7 separate regions of the Mus musculus genome follow, and regions 2, 3, 4, 5, 6 and 7 are each reported to be linked to region 1. The links are microRNA targets in miRTarBase. Many come from high-throughput screens and were not tested one by one. Region 1 holds a microRNA gene; each other region holds the end of a gene's coding sequence. Distances are from middle to middle.
Evidence for each region. Region 1 holds the annotated microRNA mmu-miR-223-3p (UGUCAGUUUGUCAAAUACCCCA, at 972-993, opposite strand). A microRNA usually pairs through its seed, bases 2 to 8, with sites in the 3' UTR of a target mRNA and lowers its output. Matches are read on the target gene's strand: a 7mer-m8 pairs with bases 2 to 8, a 7mer-A1 pairs with bases 2 to 7 and ends in A, and an 8mer does both.

Region 2: the mRNA of Syn1 is a reported target of mmu-miR-223-3p. The part of its 3' UTR that is shown has no 7-base or 8-base seed match.
Region 3: the mRNA of Tlcd3a is a reported target of mmu-miR-223-3p. Seed matches in the 3' UTR shown: 7mer-A1 at 748-754 and 7mer-A1 at 1,015-1,021.
Region 4: the mRNA of Miga2 is a reported target of mmu-miR-223-3p. The part of its 3' UTR that is shown has no 7-base or 8-base seed match.
Region 5: miRTarBase lists Asf1b as a target of mmu-miR-223-3p. The part of its 3' UTR that is shown has no 7-base or 8-base seed match.
Region 6: the mRNA of Extl2 is a reported target of mmu-miR-223-3p. Seed matches in the 3' UTR shown: 7mer-m8 at 2,014-2,020.
Region 7: the mRNA of Pds5b is a reported target of mmu-miR-223-3p. Seed matches in the 3' UTR shown: 8mer at 617-624.

The regions. Positions count from the first base shown.
Region 1 is chrX:96,240,795-96,243,876 of GRCm38, reverse strand. It overlaps Mir223 (microRNA 223), which reads right to left and starts at 1,060; the gene lies at 951-1,060. It overlaps F630028O10Rik (RIKEN cDNA F630028O10 gene), which reads right to left. Exons shown (of 3, transcript NR_030718.1): 3 at 235-2,839.
Region 2 is chrX:20,858,957-20,862,038 of GRCm38, reverse strand. Syn1 (synapsin I) reads left to right here. Exons shown (of 13, transcript NM_013680.4): 13 at 430-1,528. The coding sequence ends at 565. It overlaps Araf (Araf proto-oncogene, serine/threonine kinase), which reads right to left. Exons shown (of 16, transcript NM_009703.2): 15 at 2,220-2,354; 16 at 1,518-2,060. The coding sequence ends at 1,926. Among named protein-coding and RNA genes, the nearest start is that of Mir5617, 2.7 kb to the left of the region's middle.
Region 3 is chr11:76,207,934-76,211,015 of GRCm38, forward strand. Tlcd3a (TLC domain containing 3A) reads left to right here. Exons shown (of 5, transcript NM_027773.4): 5 at 1-1,484. The coding sequence ends at 246. Gemin4 (gem nuclear organelle associated protein 4) reads right to left here. Exons shown (of 2, transcript NM_177367.3): 2 at 2,638-3,082. The coding sequence ends at 2,824. Among named protein-coding and RNA genes, the nearest start is that of Tlcd3a, 7.4 kb to the left of the region's middle.
Region 4 is chr2:30,383,562-30,386,643 of GRCm38, forward strand. Miga2 (mitoguardin 2) reads left to right here. Exons shown (of 16, transcript NM_001242407.1): 15 at 29-145; 16 at 368-1,958. The coding sequence ends at 574. Among named protein-coding and RNA genes, the nearest start is that of Dolpp1, 7.2 kb to the right of the region's middle.
Region 5 is chr8:83,968,692-83,971,773 of GRCm38, forward strand. It overlaps Asf1b (anti-silencing function 1B histone chaperone), which reads left to right. Exons shown (of 4, transcript NM_024184.2): 4 at 443-1,504. The coding sequence ends at 649. Among named protein-coding and RNA genes, the nearest start is that of Prkaca, 2.7 kb to the right of the region's middle.
Region 6 is chr3:116,026,951-116,030,032 of GRCm38, reverse strand. Extl2 (exostosin-like glycosyltransferase 2) reads right to left here. Exons shown (of 5, transcript NM_001163514.1): 5 at 1,017-3,020. The coding sequence ends at 2,535. Among named protein-coding and RNA genes, the nearest start is that of Extl2, 20 kb to the right of the region's middle.
Region 7 is chr5:150,807,543-150,810,624 of GRCm38, forward strand. It overlaps Pds5b (PDS5 cohesin associated factor B), which reads left to right. Exons shown (of 35, transcript NM_175310.6): 35 at 271-3,082. The coding sequence ends at 306. Among named protein-coding and RNA genes, the nearest start is that of Gm36447, 5.9 kb to the right of the region's middle.

The DNA of each region.
Region 1 (3,082 bases):
AGACACGTGTAAACCAATAATTCAAAAAATTTTTCCCTCTGAGTCTATTCTTTCTTCTTGCCCTCCTGCCCCAGACCTAAATCTTATTTCTCAGAGGAAAAAAAAATCCATTTTGGTTACCATCTTGTATACACTATAGCATTAGAATACCCACAGTTTGATTTATTTTTTTCGCAAAACCCTGGTTGGTATTTGACCTATATAGCAAAAGGTTATTGACTAGTAAAACATCAATTAATTGGTAAATATTTATTAATAATTAAAATGTTGGACAATGGTATGAGAGACAGCAATCAACTGAATATAATAAGCTCTAGATTCTTACAATATAATAGGGAATTCAAGAACATACCCTGGAAAAATTCACTGACAACTTTAGAAGATGTGTTGGATGGTAGGACATATAATAGCACATACCAGTATGTGGTTAGCCAAGGAGTAAAGAAAAGTATAGGTTAACTTTCAATAGTGCCAAGAGGAATTGGAATTTGGTAGTGTCTGAAAGCCCAATGAAGATAAACAAGAAGGTTCTTTTAAGAATGATAAAAGCAAAGTGGAAAAGAGAAAATGTAGGTAGCTTAAGATGTGCTCCGAAGGCCAGACAGTGGATATTTATTTCCTACTTTCTCATAGAATTCATGATGCTTGTATGAAAATTCTGCTATTCTGGCTGCAAGAAGAGGAAAGTGAAAGAAGACATTAATAATAAATCAAATAATACTCTCATTCCCTGTATCCCTCATGTACCACTATGCAGTCCATGGCATTTTCACAATGTACACAGATGCATACCAGACTTGTAGACCCCAGAGCTGCATCGTTCCTACTCTGATGTTCTCTGAATAAATGTTATAGTTCCCTTAAAGACATAGAATAACACCAGAGAGCTTCATGTTTCATAAGCATTCATATGTAGGCAGCAGGCTATGTGCTCTGTCCTGGACCTGGAGCTGATAGGCATGAGCCACACTTGGGGTATTTGACAAACTGACACTCTACCACACAGAGTGTCCAACTCAGCTTGTCAAATACACGGAGCGTGACACTGCAGATGGCCAGATCAGGAACCTCCACTGGGCAGCAAGAACATGCTGGAAGATGTGCAACTGGAAAGAGAAAAAAATAGGGTGATTATATCTTACCCTAAGTGTGAGACAAATGGCAGACACTAACATGACTGACTAAGACACACCAAAAGAGGGAAGTGAACAAAACACGCTAATGCTCCAAACAAAAACGGGGATCCTGGGTGTTTGTCTGGAGATTCTGGTGGCCCAAGCCTCAATTAACTCTTCTATTCAGCTGAAACAGGAAAAAATTGTCATCATTCTGTCCTCGGGGACAATTTATGTGTTCCTTCCTCCTATCAACTTCTTGTATGCTCTGTTTACCCTGGTTATGTACCTAGATGTTGATTTTTAAAACTGGATTTGAATTCTACCTCTACCATTAACTAGCTGAACACCTTAAATAAATGAGTTTATGTCCCTGAAACCTACTTCTTCCATAGCCACAAAAATGCCCATGAAATCATGGCAAGAATATGTAATAATGCATATAAAGCCATTAATTTAGTGTTTGTTACCTAACAAATACTCAAAAATTGTGGCTATAGCCAGGTATGATAGTACATGTGTGCATACAAGCTTTCATAGACAGAGATAGGAGAACCTCAGATTTAAAGTCAATTTGGGCTATATAATACTACCCTTTCTCAAACAAAAAAGTAAACAATCAAGATCTAGAGATAAAACTCAGTAGCAGAACACTTACCTAACTTGTACAATACTCTGTATTTGATCCCCTGTACATAAATAAAAGTGACTAAAATGTGCTTTAAAATTAAACATATAAGATAGATACTAACAGGGGAAAAGATAGATAATTTATTTAACAGAATTGAAACAGTAATTTCTTGTGGCCTTAGCCGGCTTTGTCTAACTTGGTTGCCTTTTCTCATAAGCAGTAAAGAATTAATGATATTAAAATGCCCTTATAAGTCATCTAGTTTTACCCATTCAAGATTATAAATGAGAAAATGAAGTCTGATGTTTAGGGAAAGACTTCCAAAAGGTCATAAAACAAGTTGTTTACAGTTTGGGAATTATATCATCCATCAGCTCATTGTGTCCCTTGGCTGTCCACCCCACCACTTTTTCTTGTCTGCTTTTTATATTCCCTTGCAAAAGGGAGAGCAACAGCAACAAAGAGCAAAACAGGCAGTGGATTTTGCAGGGAAGTATTAAGATGTTTGAACTCATAGCTACCAGGGCAGCTGCCAGAAGAGCCAAGCCATCTCAATTTATTTGATATTTTGTTTAGCATCATGATCCTGTTATTCAAAATGCTTGATAGTATCAAATTTTGTCCTACCCAGGTTTAAAGTTTTCTTGGGCATCAATTGTCTTCTCTAGAAATAGAGACAGAAATCTTACATCTCAAGGTCTTGAAAAATGTTGGATGAGACTTCTAGAGCTTTTTAGAAGGGAGCTTAAAGAGACCTTATTTCCAACTCTGGAGCTAGTAAAAGCCAAGGAAAGTGATTAAAAGAGAAAGGAGTAATGGGTTATTGGTTTTGGTTTTCTTGACAGCATCTCTGCTTATCATCTGCTGTAAGGAGAGCTAGACACTTTAGAGATATCCATAGCCTCTCAATTGCCCTATCCGACCTCACATAACCCAAGAACACTGGAAAAGAGCCATGAAAGGGGCTAAAGAGTTCTAGTGCACTGACTTAATAGATTATTATAAATACTGTTTTCCAGGATTGATGGAGAAGTCAGTCCTTAAGCTGGGTAAGGGACTATTTCATTTTCATTCTTGATGTTCCAGTTCACACCTATTCAGAGGAATACATATAAGAGAAGCAAGTTTAGTTGATTAAAGTTAGTCAGACCCATAAGAATGAAGACATAGATGACTACATAGTCAGTCTTCATGACGCAAATTGAAAGGCATAAGCTTGGTAAAAGAGGTATAAGATTTTACCAAAAATCTATAAATGTCCAGAATAAGCCACATATCAGAAAATATATTTGGTGATAAAGAAGTACTCAGGACCATGTCTTAATATCCAGATTTT
Region 2 (3,082 bases), 75 Mb from region 1:
ATTCTATTCCCCTAGCCCTTAGCTCCAAAGTTTTCCCTGGCCCCCACCCCCACCCCATCTGTTCCCCCTCAGACTGGCTTACCTCATACTAGACTGTCCCTAGCCCAGGCTCCTCCTAGGCTCCTTGCTGGAACCCCTCCTTTCATCCTCCATATCAAACTGACCAAGGAATCTTCCCATTAAACCACACCACTTTATCTTATATCTAAGTCCTCTCAGCTGACCCCACATTCGCCTCAGTCTCAGCTTCATCACCCTTGAGAATCCATCAGGGTTCAGGGGCATGCTTGGGGGTGGGAAGGTCACAGGCACAGCCTCAGGATCAGAGGGGCAGGGCTGGGGCTGGGCCTAGGGTAACATTGTGTTTCTCTCCCTTCCTCCCCTTCCTCTTCCCCCTTCCTCCCATGCCTCCACCTTGTCTCTCTCTAGCAAATCCCAGTCTCTGACCAATGCCTTCAACCTTCCAGAGCCAGCCCCTCCCAGGCCCAGCCTTAGCCAGGACGAGGTGAAAGCTGAGACCATCCGCAGCCTGAGGAAGTCTTTCGCCAGCCTCTTCTCCGACTGACATCCCACTCTGAGAACCCCTAAACCCCTAGACAGCCCTCTCTGGGTCCTGAGTCCATTTCTCACTTTTGGAACCTCCAAATCCCTTGAGAACCCCTCTCCTGGTTCTCCTAGAGCCCACTTCTCATTCCTCAGTATGTCCCTTGAGAAACCTGGTCCTAAATCCAGTTCTCACATTTGGGAATCCCCAAGTCCATTTAGAATCCTGTTCCTGGTCACCTCCAGATCTGTTTGAGAACCTCCAAACTCCTGAAGACCTCTACTTCTGGTACATCTAAAGGGTGATTTCTTCCCTGAAAGTTCCTGAATGGCAGAAAACCTGTTTCTGACCTAATACATCGAATCCTCTCCTGGAGCTCTGAAATTCCTGAAAAACCCTATTCTACTCTTGGTCCTGAATCTCTCCAACACACCTTGCTCCTAATCAGAAATTTCCAATTCCATAAGAAGCCCCTATCCTTAAACCTCTTCCATAGGTCATCTCTCTGGAGATCCACATCTTCAAATGCCACCTACCATCCACCAAGCAGTCCCTCAAGGACTTCCCTTCACCTCTTCCTCTCCATCCCATTCAATATACTGGAAGTTCCTTCCACTTCTAGGACCCCTAAGTTCCCTCCTCCAGAAACCCCTCCCCAATTTCCTGCCTCTGACAGCTGTCTTTAAATATGCAAACTCCACCCATCCTCAGAATCCTTTGCACAAGGAAGGCCTGTGGTCTCCCACTCCCCTACCTTTGCCAATGTGTTTATCTGTGACTGACTTGGCCTCCTTTTGTGCCATGCTTGGCATATGTGGTCCTCATTCATGCCGCCTGTGGTAATGCGTACAGTGGCACTGTTTTTGTGGTCTGCATCTTCCTCCAACCTCCACTCCTTGCCTGGACTTGCCCCACCCCTCAGCGGCTCTGAACCCCCAAGAGAAGAGTCGGGAAGCAAAATAAACAAGCAAAGGCCCAGCAGAATTCTGTGCTTCTTGGTAAAGAGGAGAGTCCTTGAATAGTGGGGGAGACAAAAAGAAACCCCCAAATCTACATGGGGTGCTGGGAACCCCAAAATCCAGTGAAGACACATCAGGCAAAAACTTTAGAAAGAGGTTCTGAGTGGAATCCTTGCACTGAGTCACAGCCATTGGAGATAAAACAGCTCTCCAAATTAGAACTATCCCCAAACCCAAGAGGAGACCAAATTATGGAGAAAGCAGGAGACCTCAGTTTTTGGGGTCCCTCAAATTTCCCAGGGTATGGGATAGGGAATCCTGAGGCAGTATCAAGGCAGAGGCAGAACAGTTATTGGCTGGTAGGTCGGTGTGCCTTGGCATGGTATGCTGAAATTGGCTCCCTGGTGGGCTGGGAGTGAGGTCTAAGGCACAAGACGGGCTGCGCTGAGAAGGCAAGCAGGCAACTCATCAGCCTGGGTGCGGTGCAAGGAGGGTTCGGAGGCACTCCGCTCAATCTTGGGGAGTGACCGCTGCAGTAGCTCGATCGTGGCCAGAATCTGGGAGCGGGTGGAGATGAAGAGGGGTGTCCAGAGTCCCAGAGATACTCCAATATCCCCAATCCCCAGCTTTCAACATGGTTCACATTCAATATCTGCCTCTATCTCTTTACTCACAGTGCATCTCCCCAAGGTATCCAGCCCTCCTACCCAGCCCACCTGGGGAAATAGGGGCCGCTCCTCCCGCTGGAACTTGAGGCAGTCAGTCAGCAGGCGCCTCATGGCTTTGGGGCAATTACTGAAGATTTTGCTGAGGTCCGGAGACAGATAGCCACGGCCCACCATAAAGATGATCTGGTGTGTGGGGAGGAATGGGTTGATTTGGGGTTTGAGCTGGGAGGCCCAGGGATCTATGAATCTTAAAATATATGTTAGGTTAATTTTTGAGGACTAGAGGTGTCTAGTACTAAGGCCCAGAGGAGTCTGTGTCCCTGAGGACTAGGGAGGATTTTCTGCTGATAAAAGAGAGGGATTTATATTAAGGCTGTCAAAGACTGTAGGTGTGTATGGCCCAGAACAATAGGAGTCTGGAGTTATTAAGGGGCATAAGCTCAGAAAATACTAAGATTCGGGAAAATGCAGAGCACTACTTCTTGGGGGAAACTTCCATTTCTGTAGGAGTCTGGGGCATAAATAAGTCTATGTAGACTTACTTATGTAGTACTCAAAGCTCAAATACTTGATATCTGGACCTGGTATCTAAGAACAGGGAAGGTTCTAGATCTTAAATTCGGAGAATTGTGTGAGAATTTAAGACCTAGAGTGTTATGAATTCCAAGACCCCAAATTCAGGGTGACTATGGGTATTTGAGAAGCACAAAGGGCCTGAGTGTTGGACACTCAGAATGTTCAGGGGGCTTCTGAAGGGTTTGGGGTCTAGGAACATTCTGAATATAGGGAGTCAAAGAAATCTGGATTTTAAGGGTTCTGGCTCAGGGGTTTGTGGATGTGTGAGGAGGATGGGATATAAGATATCTAAAAGACAGATTCCAGGACTCTTCATTCAGAAAAATCCTAGGCTT
Region 3 (3,082 bases), not on the chromosome of region 1:
TACAAGGTCAATGGAATCCTCACGGTGACCACCTTTCTGTTCTGCCGGATCCTTCTGTTCCCATTCATGTACTGGTCCTATGGCCAACAAAAAGGACTAAGCCTGCTCCAAGTGCCATTTAATATCCCTTTACACTGCAACATGGCCAATGCCGTCCTCATCTCTCCCCAGCTCTACTGGTTCTCACTGCTGTGCAAGAAGGCGGCCCGGCTCTTTGACACTGCCAAAGCCAAAAAGGATGGTTAATTACTCTCAGGGGTCAGGCACTCACACTAGCTGCCTCAGTATTCCAAGGACCAAATCATGCCTGGGGTAGTCTCTGCCTTCTGGATGTTGATAAACCTCTGGATTTTTGGTCTTCTTTTTTAAAAATCCCCATTACCTCCTCCTTCTAACCAGCCTTTTGCAAAAGCACTTTTTGTTTTGTTTTCTGGTGATAACTTGGATCCTGTCAAAGCCCCACTGCAGTAGTTTTACCAGCAAGCCTGAGGAGCCTTCCTTGGGCCTGGGAAAGAGTTTTGGGAGGTGAAGCACTGTTCTCCCCTTCCCACCCACTCAGGGCAACACCCGGCAACACCCATACTGGGTCAGAAGCAAGTGACAACTTGGTTCTTGAAACTGTGTCATTTTCCAATACTAGGAAAGACATCGTGGGTATGTCTTTTACCGTTTACTAGACAGCCCTTGTCCTTATCTGTATATCAACAATGAATTCTCATGCCTGCTGACTTCTAGTCAGAAGGGCTCACTGACAATGGGCAGGAGGCAGGGCTGAGAACCTGAAGCACTTGAGTAGGTCAGGAGGCCAGCAGAGGCCAGCATCTTTGCAGGCTTTGTATAAAGACCAGTATCAAACTTGTGAGCTTCTTGAAAGCAGTTACCTACACCATTTCTCCTTTTTAGCATGGCCTCTCATGACCAGTTTTCTGTGTCCACACACACCAAAAACTGGCCTGAAACTCCAGGGACAAGGTGGAGTGATGGCTTCTATAGCAGCTTACTGGGTAATCCCACACTGACACTGCCCTTTCATACAAAATGGACACAGACGTCTGCTCTCCAGGTGTCCTGTAGGCCAGTGCTTCCTGCTAAGACAGACCCATTTCTGTGTTGAATGTTCTAGCCACAGAAAGCTTGAAAACAGGAGAGAGAAGCCAGACGAGCCAGAGCATGTCCTGTGGACCAGTGCTGTTTGTTAGCTGTGTGCTGTAGCATGTGGTGTAGCACAGATCATCTCTCACCACAGGCTGGGGTTGAGAGGACCTGCTGCCACTACTTCAGGTGGCAGCAAAAACACTACAGTGCCTTATAATTCACTGTCCATGGACTTCTAAAGGACTGGATGGTTGCATCTCAATTTTTGAGTTTCAGTCTTTAATAGGTGCCATTTAAAAAACATAAAAAATGCTGTTTTGTGTTTTTTTGTTCTGTTTACTGTATCCACAAGTCATCCATATAGTAATTAAATTGCACTAAATTCTCTATTTGTTATGTGCCCTGGCGCCGAATTCCCCAAACATCCGAGACCCAGCCTGACTACCGTTTTCGGTAATTCCTAGTCTGGTCACGGAAGGCAAATGGCCTCTAGGCAGGTCTTACTCATAGTCCAACATGTTGGTTCAAAGTACCAAAGGATACACGGAAGGTGCCCAGAGTTCACGCTCAGTGCTCACATTTAACTTCAGGTTTTCCTTCCTCTGGTGGATCCCAACTAGAAGTTGGGAGGGTGGAAGCCTGCCTGCCTGCCTGCCTGCCTGCCTGCCTGCTGACCACAGTTTCCATTAGGTGGGAGAAGAGTACCAGAGGAGTAAACCATTTTAGATGAGGGTGTGGGTAAGTAGGTGATGGGACCTTTCCTCTCACCTCCCTAAATGATACCTCCCCTAACCAGTTCTAAGAGTTGTGTAACATTGCCCTGGAAACCTTATGCTTTCATTTTTATGCTTCTGTATTGTTGCCTATGCCACTCAGTCATCAAAACCAAAACAATCTCACCCCAGGAAGAAGGTAATTATAGCCACCCTCCAAGGGCACCAGCTATTCAGCAGCCCTGGCTTAGCACCTCTCCCGGATGTGCTGAGGCGATGGTTACTACCCCCTTAACAGTGTTCCTTGGTGCAGGCCTCTTTGGCACAAGTCAACCAGCGCTGAGTGAGCCCCTTTCCACATCTGCCCTTTATGAGATAACCTTGGTAAGAAGATGGAATACAAAAATGCTTGCTAGTAGCCCAGGCTGGCCTTGAACTGAGCCTTCTACTTCAGCTACCCGAATGCTGGGCTTATAAGGATGTACTTCTACCAAGCCTAGTTGAAAAGACTCCACGAGGATGTCACTAAAAAGAACATATAACGTTTCTCCTCCCCCTTACCCCCCACTCGGTAGCTCCAACTTTGGGCTTACTGCCAAAACTAGGTGGAGAATTTCAGTTACAAACATGTTCCTCTCCAGCTGGCCTTTTTTTAACTTTTGGATATTCCTATGCAGTCCAAGTTGCCACCCTCTGCCTGAGCCTCCTGAAGGCTGATGCTACAGGTGTACACTCCCATACCTGTCCTACTGGCTTGACTTGATCTTAAAGACTACCTAAACCTAATTTGGAGCATATTTAAGCCCAAACTTCTGAGAAAGGCTCAAGATAAGATTAAACCCAAGAGAATTTTATTTAAGTAGTATGTGACAAATATCTAAGAAAACTATTTCTTTACACTGCTCTTGTACTCCTTTCACTGTGTACGTTCTTATAACTTTGTTTGTTCTTAGCTCTGGGCCCTGCAGAAACACCACGGTGGACGGAGGCATAGTTTTGTTCTGCCCTCAACAGGTCAGAAGTTGTTGATCTTTTGTAGCAGGGTTTGGCGCCGCTCCTCAGGGCTAATGTTCTTGGCGATAGACTTTAAGAAGCGCTGCTCGTCTACCTTCTGGAGCAAGGAGCTGACAGAAGGGTTGCTTTTGCTTAGAGTCTCGTAGCAGGTAAGGATTTCCAAGGCCAGCACGTAGAGGGGTTCACAGACCTCCTGAGGGAGCATGGCCATGATATGCAGAACATGACAGAACATCTGGGTATAGACAAACAGGGTTTCC
Region 4 (3,082 bases), not on the chromosome of region 1:
TGCTCCTTAGCCCTGCCACTCACCACAGGTGCCTGATGGCTTCATCTCCCATTTCTACTCCGTATCGGAGCATGTTAGCCCTGTGTTGGCCTTTGGCTTCCTCGGACCCAAGCCCCAGCTCTCGGAAGTCTGTGCTTTCTTCAAGGTACATGACAACACTCCTGCTTTCCTGCTACTGCAGACACCCCTCAGTGCCAGAAGAGGGGTGGGACCCGGGCTGCTCTAGGTGACCACTATAGGATGAGCCCAGGAAGGCAGTTGCTTAAGGCTGGGAGAGTGGGCTGGGGCTTGGTCATTGAGAAAGGGACTTTGTAGAATGTAGAAAATGTCTCAGGACCCAAACCCAACACCAGTCTCCTACCCCTAGCACCAGATTGTACAATACCTGAGGGACATGTTCGACCTGGACAACGTGCGCTACACATCTGTGCCAGCCCTAGCAGAAGACATCCTACAGCTGTCCCGGCGGCGCAGCGAGATTCTATTGGGCTACCTGGGGGCACCTGTGGCTAGTAGCATCGGGCTGAATGGGCCACTGCCTCGAGAAAATGGGCCCCTGGAAGAGCTGCAGTAACAGGGGATGGGCTGGAGGGGAGAGGTGGCTGTTTGGGCCTCAGATACAAGGTGATAGGAGAGAGAAAGCTGCCACTCCCTTCCTTTGGGTTGGTATCCAAGGGCCATGGTGGCCAAGGGCCATTGCCCCTAAGCTTGCTCCACTTCCTCACCTGGGAATTCCCAACACCCAGGGGACAAATTTCCATGGAGAGGAACCACTAGAAGCACTGATAGCAGCTGCCCTTGGGGTTCCCTGAGCAGCAGAGGCAGGCCAGAGTCAGCAGGGACTGGCCAGGGGCAGGTAGCAAGAGAGAAAGGTGTGGGAGCAAATGGCTCTTGAGTATGGACCACAGAACCCCAGTCCCCCCCTGCTGCTGAGGGAGGGCAAGGGATAGTTGAGGGATAGAACATACAGGGCTAGGTGGTGACAGTCACAGGGTCCTGCAATTAGCAGCCACCAATAGCTACATTAAGTCCCAGCACCTAGGCTTCTGGCCAGTATGGAAAGCCATGTCTGGGCCATCCAGAGGTGGGCTTGCCCCATGTGTGCTCACATCTGAGCAGGTACTCACCCTTCACAAACCCTTGGCGCTGTTCTCCACATTCCCACACCCTGCCAAAGATTGTTTTTATCCCCTCTGTCACCAAAGATGGAGGAGGCAGGACTGGCCGCTTCCTGCTCTCTGGTGAGCCAGGAGCTCCTGGGCAGTGCTGGGCCCCAGTCAGAGCTCACAGTGGCCCATCTACTGCTCCAAAAGTGAGCACGGAACCATGGCAGGGTGGGCATGGGCTGCACAGCGGGCAGCTCCCCCTTCCCCTTTCTGACAGGAAGCTGGACTCAGCACTTTGCCTTCAACTCCATGCACACGTGCTTTGGGGCTGCCACCACCCACGTCCTGCAGACAGTTGGCATTTGTCACGGCAGCTGCAGTAGTCCTGGCAGCCCTCCTTTTGCCTGAGCTGGGAAGTTTTTATTTATTGCCTTAATACTTTATTTGGCTGTTCCATCCCTTCCAGGTTGTGACACCAGGAGAAAAGACTCCTGGTCTGGAGTTGAGCACTGGCTCCTGGAACCAAGTTCCTCTCCCTGGAAGGGAAAAGGGTTCCCCAGGGTCAGCAGGATGCAGTAAAGAGAGGGCAGCCATGGCTCTGGGTCCTCTCTGAGGCTTGTGCTCAGAAGGGAGCAGCCCTCATGCACTGTCTTGACATTCCATTCATTTGCACTTACCCTGAGCTGTGAATGTGACCCTGGGCTAAGGCCTGCTCTGCTCTGCCCCTGACCCATACAGTGTGGTATTTTCATTTTTGTCCTGTTCATGTGTCTATGCCCCACCCTCTAGCACTCAACCAGCAGTGGTAGAGTGTGTGTAAGGCCTGTGAGTCAGATAAAGGACCGAAGCGACTCTTCTCTGTGTCTTGCTGGGTAGAGGTGGGGGCAATGCTGAGCCAAAGGCTGGACACTTGCCCTGTACCATGGGTAGAGGCTCCAGGAGGAACAGGTCAGGAGCAGCCTGATACGGCCAGGTGAAAGCTTGACAGGATGTGTGTGTCCCTGGGATGACAAGATGCAGATGTGTAGTGGGTGGCCTGCACTTCTTGTCCTCAGTTCCCACATCTGTAAGTCATGGGCATTGTGCCCAGCTAGGTGATTCACAGCCTGTCAGGTCTTAATGTGTCTTCATAGGCATCGGGCTTAGGGTTACTGCTGCTGTGAAGAAAGACCATGACCAATGGCAGCGTGGGCAGGAAAGGGTTTATTTCACTCACAGTTCCACATCACAGGCCATCATCAACAGCATTAAAGGCAGGAGCCTGGAAGGAGGAGCTGATGAAGAAGCCACGGGCAGAGGCTGTGTAGTGGCTTGTTCTCTGTGGCCATGTGGGCCAACCAGTTTAGCTGAATCATCATCTGGTCTCAGTGAGAGCTCCTGCCTTAAAACACGACTGGAGAGCGATTAAGAGAAGACATTCAGTACCGACCTCTGTAGAACATATGTGTATATAGACCCAGGATTTTTCTGTTTTCTTTTTCTTTCAATGTAGCCCTGAATGTTCAGGTCCTTGTGTGTGGACCAGGCTAATCTTGAACCTACAGAGTCCTGCTTGGCTCTGTACCCAATTGCTGGGATTAGTCTTGGGCCACCACATTCAGCTTACCACAATTCTTCTAGGGCTGAAAGTATATCTGTGGCCGAGCACTTACCCAGCATTCACAAAACCCCAAGTTCAGTCCTCAGCACCGCACTCTTTAAAAACAAAGCAAGCGGCAAACCTGATGCCTTTAGTTACCATTCTGTCGTGTTTGCTTTGTATGTTTCCAGAGAATTTAGAGTGAACTTCAGGTGTGAACTTCTTTCATAAGCACCTCAGCAAGCAGAGCTCTAGTGCAGCTTTCCAGTGTGTGGACCCACATTCCAGTTGCACATAAAACAGCGGCTCTGTCCTGTGTGTGCAGGAATTCTCACAGGACTTAACTAGTCCTATGTAAAAAGGTGTGGGTATGGTGGTGCAGTTTGTCATCTTGGGG
Region 5 (3,082 bases), not on the chromosome of region 1:
GCACCAGGCACACATATGTGACATAGACATATTTACAGCCAAACACCCATATACAAAGTTTTTTTGTTTTTTTTTTTTAAATCAAATAAGCCAGGCATGGTAATACATATCTCTAACCCCAGTACTTGGGGGCGGGGGTTAAAGCACTTGGGGTGATATAGGCAGATCTCATGTGTTTAAGGCCCTCCTCATCTATATAGTTATAGGCCAACCATGGCTACATAGTTGAGACCCTCTCTCAAAACAACCCAAAACCAAATGAACAAAGCTAAGCAAACCCAGGATGAGAAGGCCCTATTCCTACCCAGAGTGTTCAAGTATCTCTAGGGTTCTACATCTGAGCAACAGGGGTGCTTGAGTCTGCTTTCAGGCTCAAAGTGGAGGTTTGAGGGAATAATGAACACTTAGGTGACAAGGGCTGACATTCTTCTTCTTACTACAGCTACAGCGGAACATCTTGGCCTCTAACCCCCGGGTGACCCGATTCCATATCAACTGGGACAACAATCCAGACAGTCTGGAAGCCATAGAAAACCAGGACCCCAATGTGGACTTCAGCCTTTCCCTCAGTTGCACTCCTGTTAAAAGCCTGGGCCTCCCTAGTTGCATCCCAGGCCTCCTCCCTGAGAACTCCATGGATTGCATCTGACAGGGGAGCCAGGTAGAGCTCAGTAGGACCACAGCAGTCTCCTTGCACACCTGGAGGGGACCTACAAGCCCTCAGTCAGACATGCTTGGTCATCTCAAGGATTTGGGGACCACCAGCTGTCTCCAGATCTGTCAGCCCCAAGAAAAAACAATGGGCCCCAATCTCTTCCATCCAGGTCCAGAAGAATCATCTCACTTATGACCTACTGACCTCTAAAAAGCAGGTACTTGTATTGCTCATTCTATGCGTCATTTTTCTTTATATATTATCAGTTTCTATGAGATGCTTTCTGAACACCACCTTCTGTGAGGCTTGCTTGGGCAGTGTCTGGCTAGCATTGGCCAGAGGTTATCACTCCTTCCAACTCTAGTTCTTGGGGACTAGGCAAGGAAGAAGTCCTAGTTCGAAGGCCAGCTCAATACAATGGCTATCCTTTCAGAGTGTCTAGGACATTCAGTCTAACTAGTACTACAAAACGCAAAAGTGAGCTCCCCAGGCCAATGAGGGATGTCAGGTACTTTGGTCACAGCCACCTTTTCATCTCCTGACTGAGCCTGGCTTTCTGAGAGGATTGCCCTAGGTAGGTATATTGGAGGTCCTGCTTCATGCATTCTGGCCCCATAGAGTCATCAGGGTTTGCTTTGACCACATGTTCATTCTCATGCTATACCCAAATACTCTGGGATAAAGGAGGTGTTTGGCAGGCTGACCTGAAAAACTCCCATTCCATCCACCTCTATCCTAAGCCCTTAGTTCCCTTGCTGCTACATGTATGCTATTGTGATTGCAGTGTGTATATTAAAAGGTTTTATATTAAAAGTTTTGGTTGTCTTAAGAATAAAAGCACTTCATCTAGATTGTTTTGCTTTTTTCTCTCCCCTCTCCTCCGTCCACCCACTCACACATAGCAGGCCTGGGATTCATTCTGTAGACCAGAGATCCACCTGCCTCTGCCTCTGCCTCCTCTGCCTCGAGTGATAGGATTAAAAGTGTACAATACCATACCTGCAAAAGGGTTGTTTTAATGTTGGTTTTTTTTGTTGTTGTTGTTGTTGTTGTTGTTGTTGTTGTTGTTGTTTTTCGAGACAGGGTTTCTCTGTGTAGCTCTGGCTGTCCTGGAACTCACTTTGTAGATCAGGCTGGCCTCGAACTCAGAAATCTGCCTGCCTCTGCCTCCCAAGTGCTGGGATTAAAGGCATGCGCCACCACTGCCCAGCTTAATGGTTATTTTGTTTTGTTTGGTTGTTTTTCTTTAGGGTTTATGGTGGTGGTGGTTTTGTTGTTTTGTTGTTTTTTTACGGGGGTGGGGGGAGAGGTTGGTTTGTTAGTTTGTTTTTTAGGTTTTTTTGTTGTTGTTGTTTTGTTTTTGTGTGTCTTTTTTGAAATAGAGTTTCTCTAGTTATCCTGGAACTTGATCTGAGACAAGGCTGGCTTCAAACTCAGAAATCTACCTGCCTCTGCCTCCCATGTGCTAGGATTAAGGGCATGCTCTACCTTGCCTGGATTAAAACTTTTTTTTTAATTTTATTTTATGTGTTTTGGGTATTTTGCCTGTATGGGCCGGCTGTGTACCACGACTGGTGTCTGCAGAGACCAGAAGAGGGCTTTGGAGCTTCTAGAAGTGGCTGTGAATCTCCATGTGGGGAGCTGGGAATTGAACCAATCCTCCAGAAAGCAGCCAGTGCTCTTAAGTCAGCTGGTGCCTGTAAAAAGTTTTGTAATATGCTGTTTTCTTTTTTGTCCTTCTGTGGCTGAACAGCTTTGTCACTTTCATATCATGAGTAACTTCTTGTCCTTACAGTGGCTGGACCTTCTCCCTTTGCTTGCTCCCCTAATTCCAGTCTCAACTAGTTGTACAGTTTGCACCACAACCTGGGGGTCAAAGCCTATTTTTCTTTGCCCATTTTTTTTTTTTAATTTTGGTTCTGTTTTGTCCAAGCTTAAGTATGCCAGCTGTTCAATAGATGGCGGCCAGTGATTTTTTTCTCACTCTGACCTTGACCCACAGGCATAGAGCAACATTGTGACCCAAGGACACACAGAGCCACAATTTAGATAATTTCACTTAGCTGTGGCAAAACTCCCCAAATCAGAGATGGAGTATTTGTCTGTTCAGCCAACTCGCATAATCCAGAGGAACCGTACTTTCTGGCAGGGTACTTTCCCCCTCGGGGACTGCAGCTGACCTAGTAGCAGGAGTACATATAGTTATTGGCTTAGAAGCTGGTTGTGCATTGTTGAGCAGTGAGTCTATAGGTATATGTACCTCAGAGTCAACTACCCTTTGGAGTCCAGGAGAGGTAGCTCATCGTCCACTCAGCACCGTCCACCCAGCACCGTCCACCCTGGCCACCCTCTATTACAGAGCTCTGGTGAGGGTAGGGATAATTTGTTTCCAAGAGTACATTTAGCAGTATCTGGAGATGTTTGTGT
Region 6 (3,082 bases), not on the chromosome of region 1:
AGAGAGAGAGAGAGAGAGAGGGTCTTACTCTGTAGCAGGGCTGATCTTCACAGGAATTCTCCTCCCTCAGCCATCTGAGTGCTGGGATTACAGGGGTGATCTTTGATTTCTTTACACTGCTGTAAATGTGTCCAAACTGATAGAATACATACGTACTGTGGCTTTAATGTGAAGAGCCAGGTGTGATGATGTCTCATGTCTCTAATCTCAGCATTTTGGGAGACTCGGGCAGGAGGGGCCTTGAGTTTGAGGCCAGCCTACATTAAAGGATAAAACTGTCTCCAAAACAAAACACAGGGGGGAAAGTATATAAAGAATGAAAACAAGGAACAAGCCTTTGGTTCCTGGGTACTGTGCACAGACAGTGCTCTCCGTATCTCCCTTTGTGGATGTTGGGTTTTCTAGCATTAGAGCAACCTAACAGCTTTAACGCTTTGAACATCTGAAATGGGGAAGCCGCTATGACTATGACGTATGACTCTAGTCAGACATACCACCTCTCTTATTATTTAAAACCAATTCTTAATAAAACCTATGAATATTAACCTGTCCTTAGTTTTCCAACGTTTAGGATATATATAAAACAATCACATTTTGACAAACAGGGGCTCTTCAAATGTGATGTCTGGCAAGGATTTCGTCCCGGAGTCTAATAGCAGAGCCTGTAGGCTTCACTCCTGAGCTACACTGCTACACAGGTGTAGTTTTGAGCCCGCACAAGTGATTTTGGATCATGTGGAGTACGAGTAAAAGGTTTTCATGGAAAGATGGTCTTAGGAGGTCTAGCCACAGTGTAGAAATCTTTCTTATATAGACCTAAAAGTATTTTTGTTGATGATTCATAATATGAGAGAAAATAGTACAATTCACATGGTTATTTAAAATTTTCAATCAAACACAGGGCTATCTTCCCAATAGGAAACTTATTCCTGGTGAACACATCAAGTTTTCAGCTTCACAGTGAGTGGTACTGCCAAGTACAGAGAAACACGGAACACGTCACCAGAGCACCCGCTCAGTTATTAACACAGTGGCCAGCTGACGTTTATTTATTTGACAGTGGATGACCAAGAAGCAAAAATGTATTACCAAATGTGGACAACCAAGAAGCAAAAGTGTATTACCAAATGTGGACAAAGCATGTAACTGACATAAGTTTTAATGGGATCAAATGAAATATATTTCTGATTGCATTAAGACACACACATACATTGTTAGACAAACAGACGCTGAACTGACGGCGGGAAGGTCTTGCAGTGGAACTTGGGTGGTCAGTATTCTCCTATTTTCACGCCTTATATGAAGAGAAGAAGAAAAGTGATACACAGAGGCCTGATAGATTATTTCTTTTCAGTAGTGGTGAACAAGGTCAAACCAAAGGACAGCAGGCAAGACACAGACACTGGCTCCCACAGCGAGAGGTGTGTGGTAGGAACAGTGAACTCCTGAGAGCATCCCACTGCCTTCTCACATGATGGCTCAGTCCTTTTTATTTTCAACAACCATGTAATTGAAATTTCGTCATGAATTGGGACTTAAAAAAAATCCTAACAAAATCCTGGGTTCTGTATGGAAACATTTTTGTGCAATACAGTTATTAAATACTCACAAGGTAGCCTATGCTTTAATAATAAAGATCTTTGATACTAAAGTTTTTTATTTCTGCTAGCTTCTACTTAACCATTCTTCCAGAAGTTATTTTTATACATATTTATTCATTATTCAACACATTCTGTAAAATATAAGAACTAATGTAGATTCTCAAGGTCATATGCGGTGACAGATTACAGGGACACACTGATTCCTTGTTGCATACAAGTTACATATAAGAAACATGGCTGGCACATTTCAGTGATCCATGCAGAGTAGGCTCACACAAAAACCAAACCAAACCAAACCAATAAAAACCAATTAAACAACAGTCAGCCATGAAAACTTACACTCCCAGTCACCAACAGGCGTAACAGCAGAGACACCAGCACTGACAGCTTCGTTAGAACCGTGCTGGGCTCAGTCAGTTCTGTGAGATGGACCAGAAAGACACCGGCAACCAGGAATTTTCCTGGCTCTCAACACTGAGTTCAGACTAAACTCTCCTCACATGGCTTTTCCCTATACCGCAGGCATTTCAGGCTTCAAATAAAAACAATCGACCTTCACCGAAAAGCTGAAAATTGTCTCTTGTGAGTCTCTGGAAGCAGCTTGCTGTAGGGCCTTGAGGCAAATGCCAGGGCTCAAACAAACTGAGGAGCAGTCTCGAGATGTAAACAATAATGTCACCATCTTGGACAAAAGCTCTTCACAGGAAATCCTATCCCGGTAAGGCCAACTTCTTGGCTTTTGAAGGTCCATGTGTTTTATATTCTAGAAGTACCGCATATGGTTTTTTTGTTTCTATTATAGAGACTTATGGACTAGATAAAAGTTCATAGTGTTGCTTGAAAAAAAAAACCAAAAATAAAACCAAAAACACACAGCATGGAGAAGCCACTGAAAACCCAGCGCGGTGTTTTGGGCTTGTCTTTGTTTCCGGTTCACATTTTACTTTTATGGTTGGCATACGGAAAACCAAACTGGGAAATCATAATGTTGGAGTACTTTAAGGGCATGCCGTCGTAGATGTTAACGAGCTTATTTATACAGTAGGATCTCTGCAGAAAGTGCTCCGCCCGGTGCCACATTCCGGAATACCCGTTGGTTTCTTTTTCCAAGTTGACCATGTTTATGGGTTTCACGAATATCCCTGAAGGCTTGCCAGTGTGCCTGGTGACGAGGAAATTCATAGCGATGTCGTCACAGTTCTGCGTCTCATCGATCAGCGCGTGGACGGCTGCAGGCTGCTTCTGGAAGAGTTCCAGGTATTTGCTGTTGAAGAAGGAGGCTCCGATGAGCACCATGGAGTACTGGTCGCCATTCCCGGGCCCCGGTGTCTGCAGCTCAAAGCCTCCGTAACTGTAGATCCCGGAGGAAGTAGAGACGTGCTTTCTAGGTACAAATCCTATGATCTGATCAGGAAATTGCTGAAAAGAGGAGGAAAAGGAACAGTTAAGTGTGGTGTTTCTTTGGAGCAGACATGGATAAA
Region 7 (3,082 bases), not on the chromosome of region 1:
CTGCATTATATCTGTGAGTGACTCTAAACATGAATACAGAAGGGAAATAATCTGTGGCCTGGAAAAGGCTGCTTATGGGCTTGTCCAGATGTAGATACCATAGAGGCCTTAATATCTGAAGATAGGAAGAAGAGGAGGACAGTTTTAGGAAAAGAAATACAAAGAAATTCAGAAATGTGTGAGAATAAAGATTGTTTTAAAAATGATGGCTGGTACTTAGGCTAAATTCGGATGTGTTCACATTGGTCATCTGTTGACTTTTCTCTTCAGGTACGACGGCGAAGCTCCAAACGAGAGAGACGATGAACACGTCATTAACTTCTATTGTGAAAGCTTTGGGGGGAAAAAACATTTTTTGTCTAAATATGAGGCTAAATAAAGCCTTGGATGCACAAACCAGAACTGCCAAAGCGTGGACAGTTGGACTTCGGATGACCATGGGTTTGTGGTCACACGTATCAGCCATCCACACAGTGATAACACTGACTCCAGAGTCTTGTGAAAGTGTCCTGTGTGATGGCTGTGTAGACACAAACTAAAGAAGACACATGTAAATAATCCCACTCCCCCATTTCTGACTTCTAAAGTGCTTGTATAGCTTTTATCTGCGGCTTTAAACTGACAGGACCCAGCTGCTTACCGGATCTGTTCATTTGAAAAGCATTTGCTAGGGTGGATCTTAAGCAGTACGTAGTCTGTCAGTGTTTGTATTTGAATTCTCTGCAATTTTACTGTGAAAATTTGTTTTCAACAATTGGTGTCATTTTCTCAATGTCACTGTTTGTTGGAGTTAAATGGTTTCTTCCTGCCCCTCTTTGTAGCTCATCTATGTTTACTCCAGGGCACTGTTGTCTTCTGAGGTGCTAAAGCATCTGCCAGCACACTAGAACATGCCTCTGTCTGGGGCACGACATGGATTGTGAGATAGTCCTGAGCTTATCTGATGACTTCACACCTCAGTATTGGTCCCAGAATTCTCTGGCCTTTCATGGCAACGAAAATTTTAAGAAAGAGATTTAAAATATTTTAATTTTAAAGAGTGTGTTATAAAATAATGTACTAAATTCTTTATTCCATTCTATCATCTTTTTTCAGTTTATATTAATCTACTGTATCAATAAAATTCTGTAATTTGAATGGGCTTTTAATAGTCTAGAATGTTATTGTGTATAGATATTACTTCTTGAACATTATGTTCAGAAATGCAAATTATTACACTATAATATAAAATCTGATATATACACGTTAGGAAAGTTCTCATTCTCCATAACCATGTAAAGTTAATCAGAAACAAAAAATTTTATTGATGCAGTGTATCTTTATAAATCTGTTCTTGAAAGCCAAGTGTTTTGTATTTTATAGTGAGTTGCATGTTTATGAAAAATTGCTGATCATGAGATGTGCTTTTCTGTAAATTCATACTTAGCCATAGTATATGATAGATGACCCCCTAACATAGTTTTTCATCAAGAGTTTATAATTGTACTTTATTTTGGAGCCAAAAAAAAAATTGTTTGGTGGGGGTGGTGGTACTGGGTGGCAGTGATTTATCTAGTTTGGGCTGAGACTTTAGGCGTCACACTCACAAACACTGAGAGAGTCCCACTGCATCCAGAATAGGAAAGATGGAAATTTGCCTGGGTTTAATTTAGAGGTCTGCAAAGTCTAAAAATGGATTATCAAGGCAGTGCCCTTTACATAGAGTATGAACCAAAATGTATTGGTTGCTACCTTATGCTCACCTGAATTAACTTTAGATTTACGGGTGCAGGGTTGGTTTTGCACAATTGTTAACAGTAGAAAAGAAAATGACATTTTGAGTTACCAAGTTACTATATCAAGTTAACAGAGCAGTTTCATATAGTACACCTTTATGTTTCCAAAATTGGATATAATAAATTGGGATGCTATAAAGAAGTGACTATTTTAGAAATGACATCATGCTATTTTCTAGTATGTATCGCAAATGATGTGATTATTTTTCTTTTTAATATTTCCTCATGTTTATGAAACACTTTATTTTTTAAAAGATGTTTGAATTGTGTCTTAATCCTTCAGTGTTTAACTTTCTTCATTTGCAACAGTGTTGGCACCGTGGTGATGGGAGGCCTCTGCCTGTGAGGACAGCTAAGGCTGGGTTATGATACTTTGTATTTTAAATGTTTCATTAACTCAGCTCTCCAGACAATGATGTTTCGATTTCAACAGTACAGAAGCATGTTTTTAAACTTACAGCATAAGTAATAAAGGATAGCATTGTATTTTTGTCATCAACTAAACTTCATTGGAAATATTTATGGAAATATATGTTTAAAACCATTTTATAAAACAAAAAAAATATTATGGAGGATTTTTATTTGCATGATCATAGTTCACCAGATTTCATTGCACATTAATGCTGTGCATCAGTTCATTACAGACATGGTCACTGTAGATTTTGTTTGTGTCCAATGCCAATGAGCCTGTAATTTTACAACCCGCCTGTTCACTTTTGGGAGGATTATAATGTAAAATTTCCATTTTTGTGTAGAGAAATAGGTGCAATAATGATCAAAGTTTTTATGTCCTGAGTCTCCATCTTGGGGGCTTATTATTATGTTTAAACTTAACACTTCCTGTACTAACACTTGGAGAGCCACATACTTTAAAATAAAGCTAAGTATGTATACGACATTAATTGCTACAGTTGTTAGCATACTGCAGTGGTCGTACTCATTTTGAGAACGTGTACTGTCTGACATTAAGGACCTGTAACAAGCTCATTGTAACAAGCCGACTGTGGAAGGAATCTGGTGACTCCCAGGTGAGCCTTGCTTGCTGCAGTACCCCACTAAGCTCTTTCAGTGATCTCCATTCTATGTGTAAATTAGAAATGTGCTGTAAAACTTGTTCTAGACATTAAAGTTTAAATGACTTTCTACATCTTCTTACAGCTTGCAAGTTTGACTTTTAAAGGTTCCTTTTGCCTACTGAAAGAATATTGGGGATTTAATGATTTGTTTAACTTAGGCATAACCTTCTACCACATAGTATTATGTTATCAATGAACAGTTGGTTCTAGATGTCCAGTTTTCAGACACAG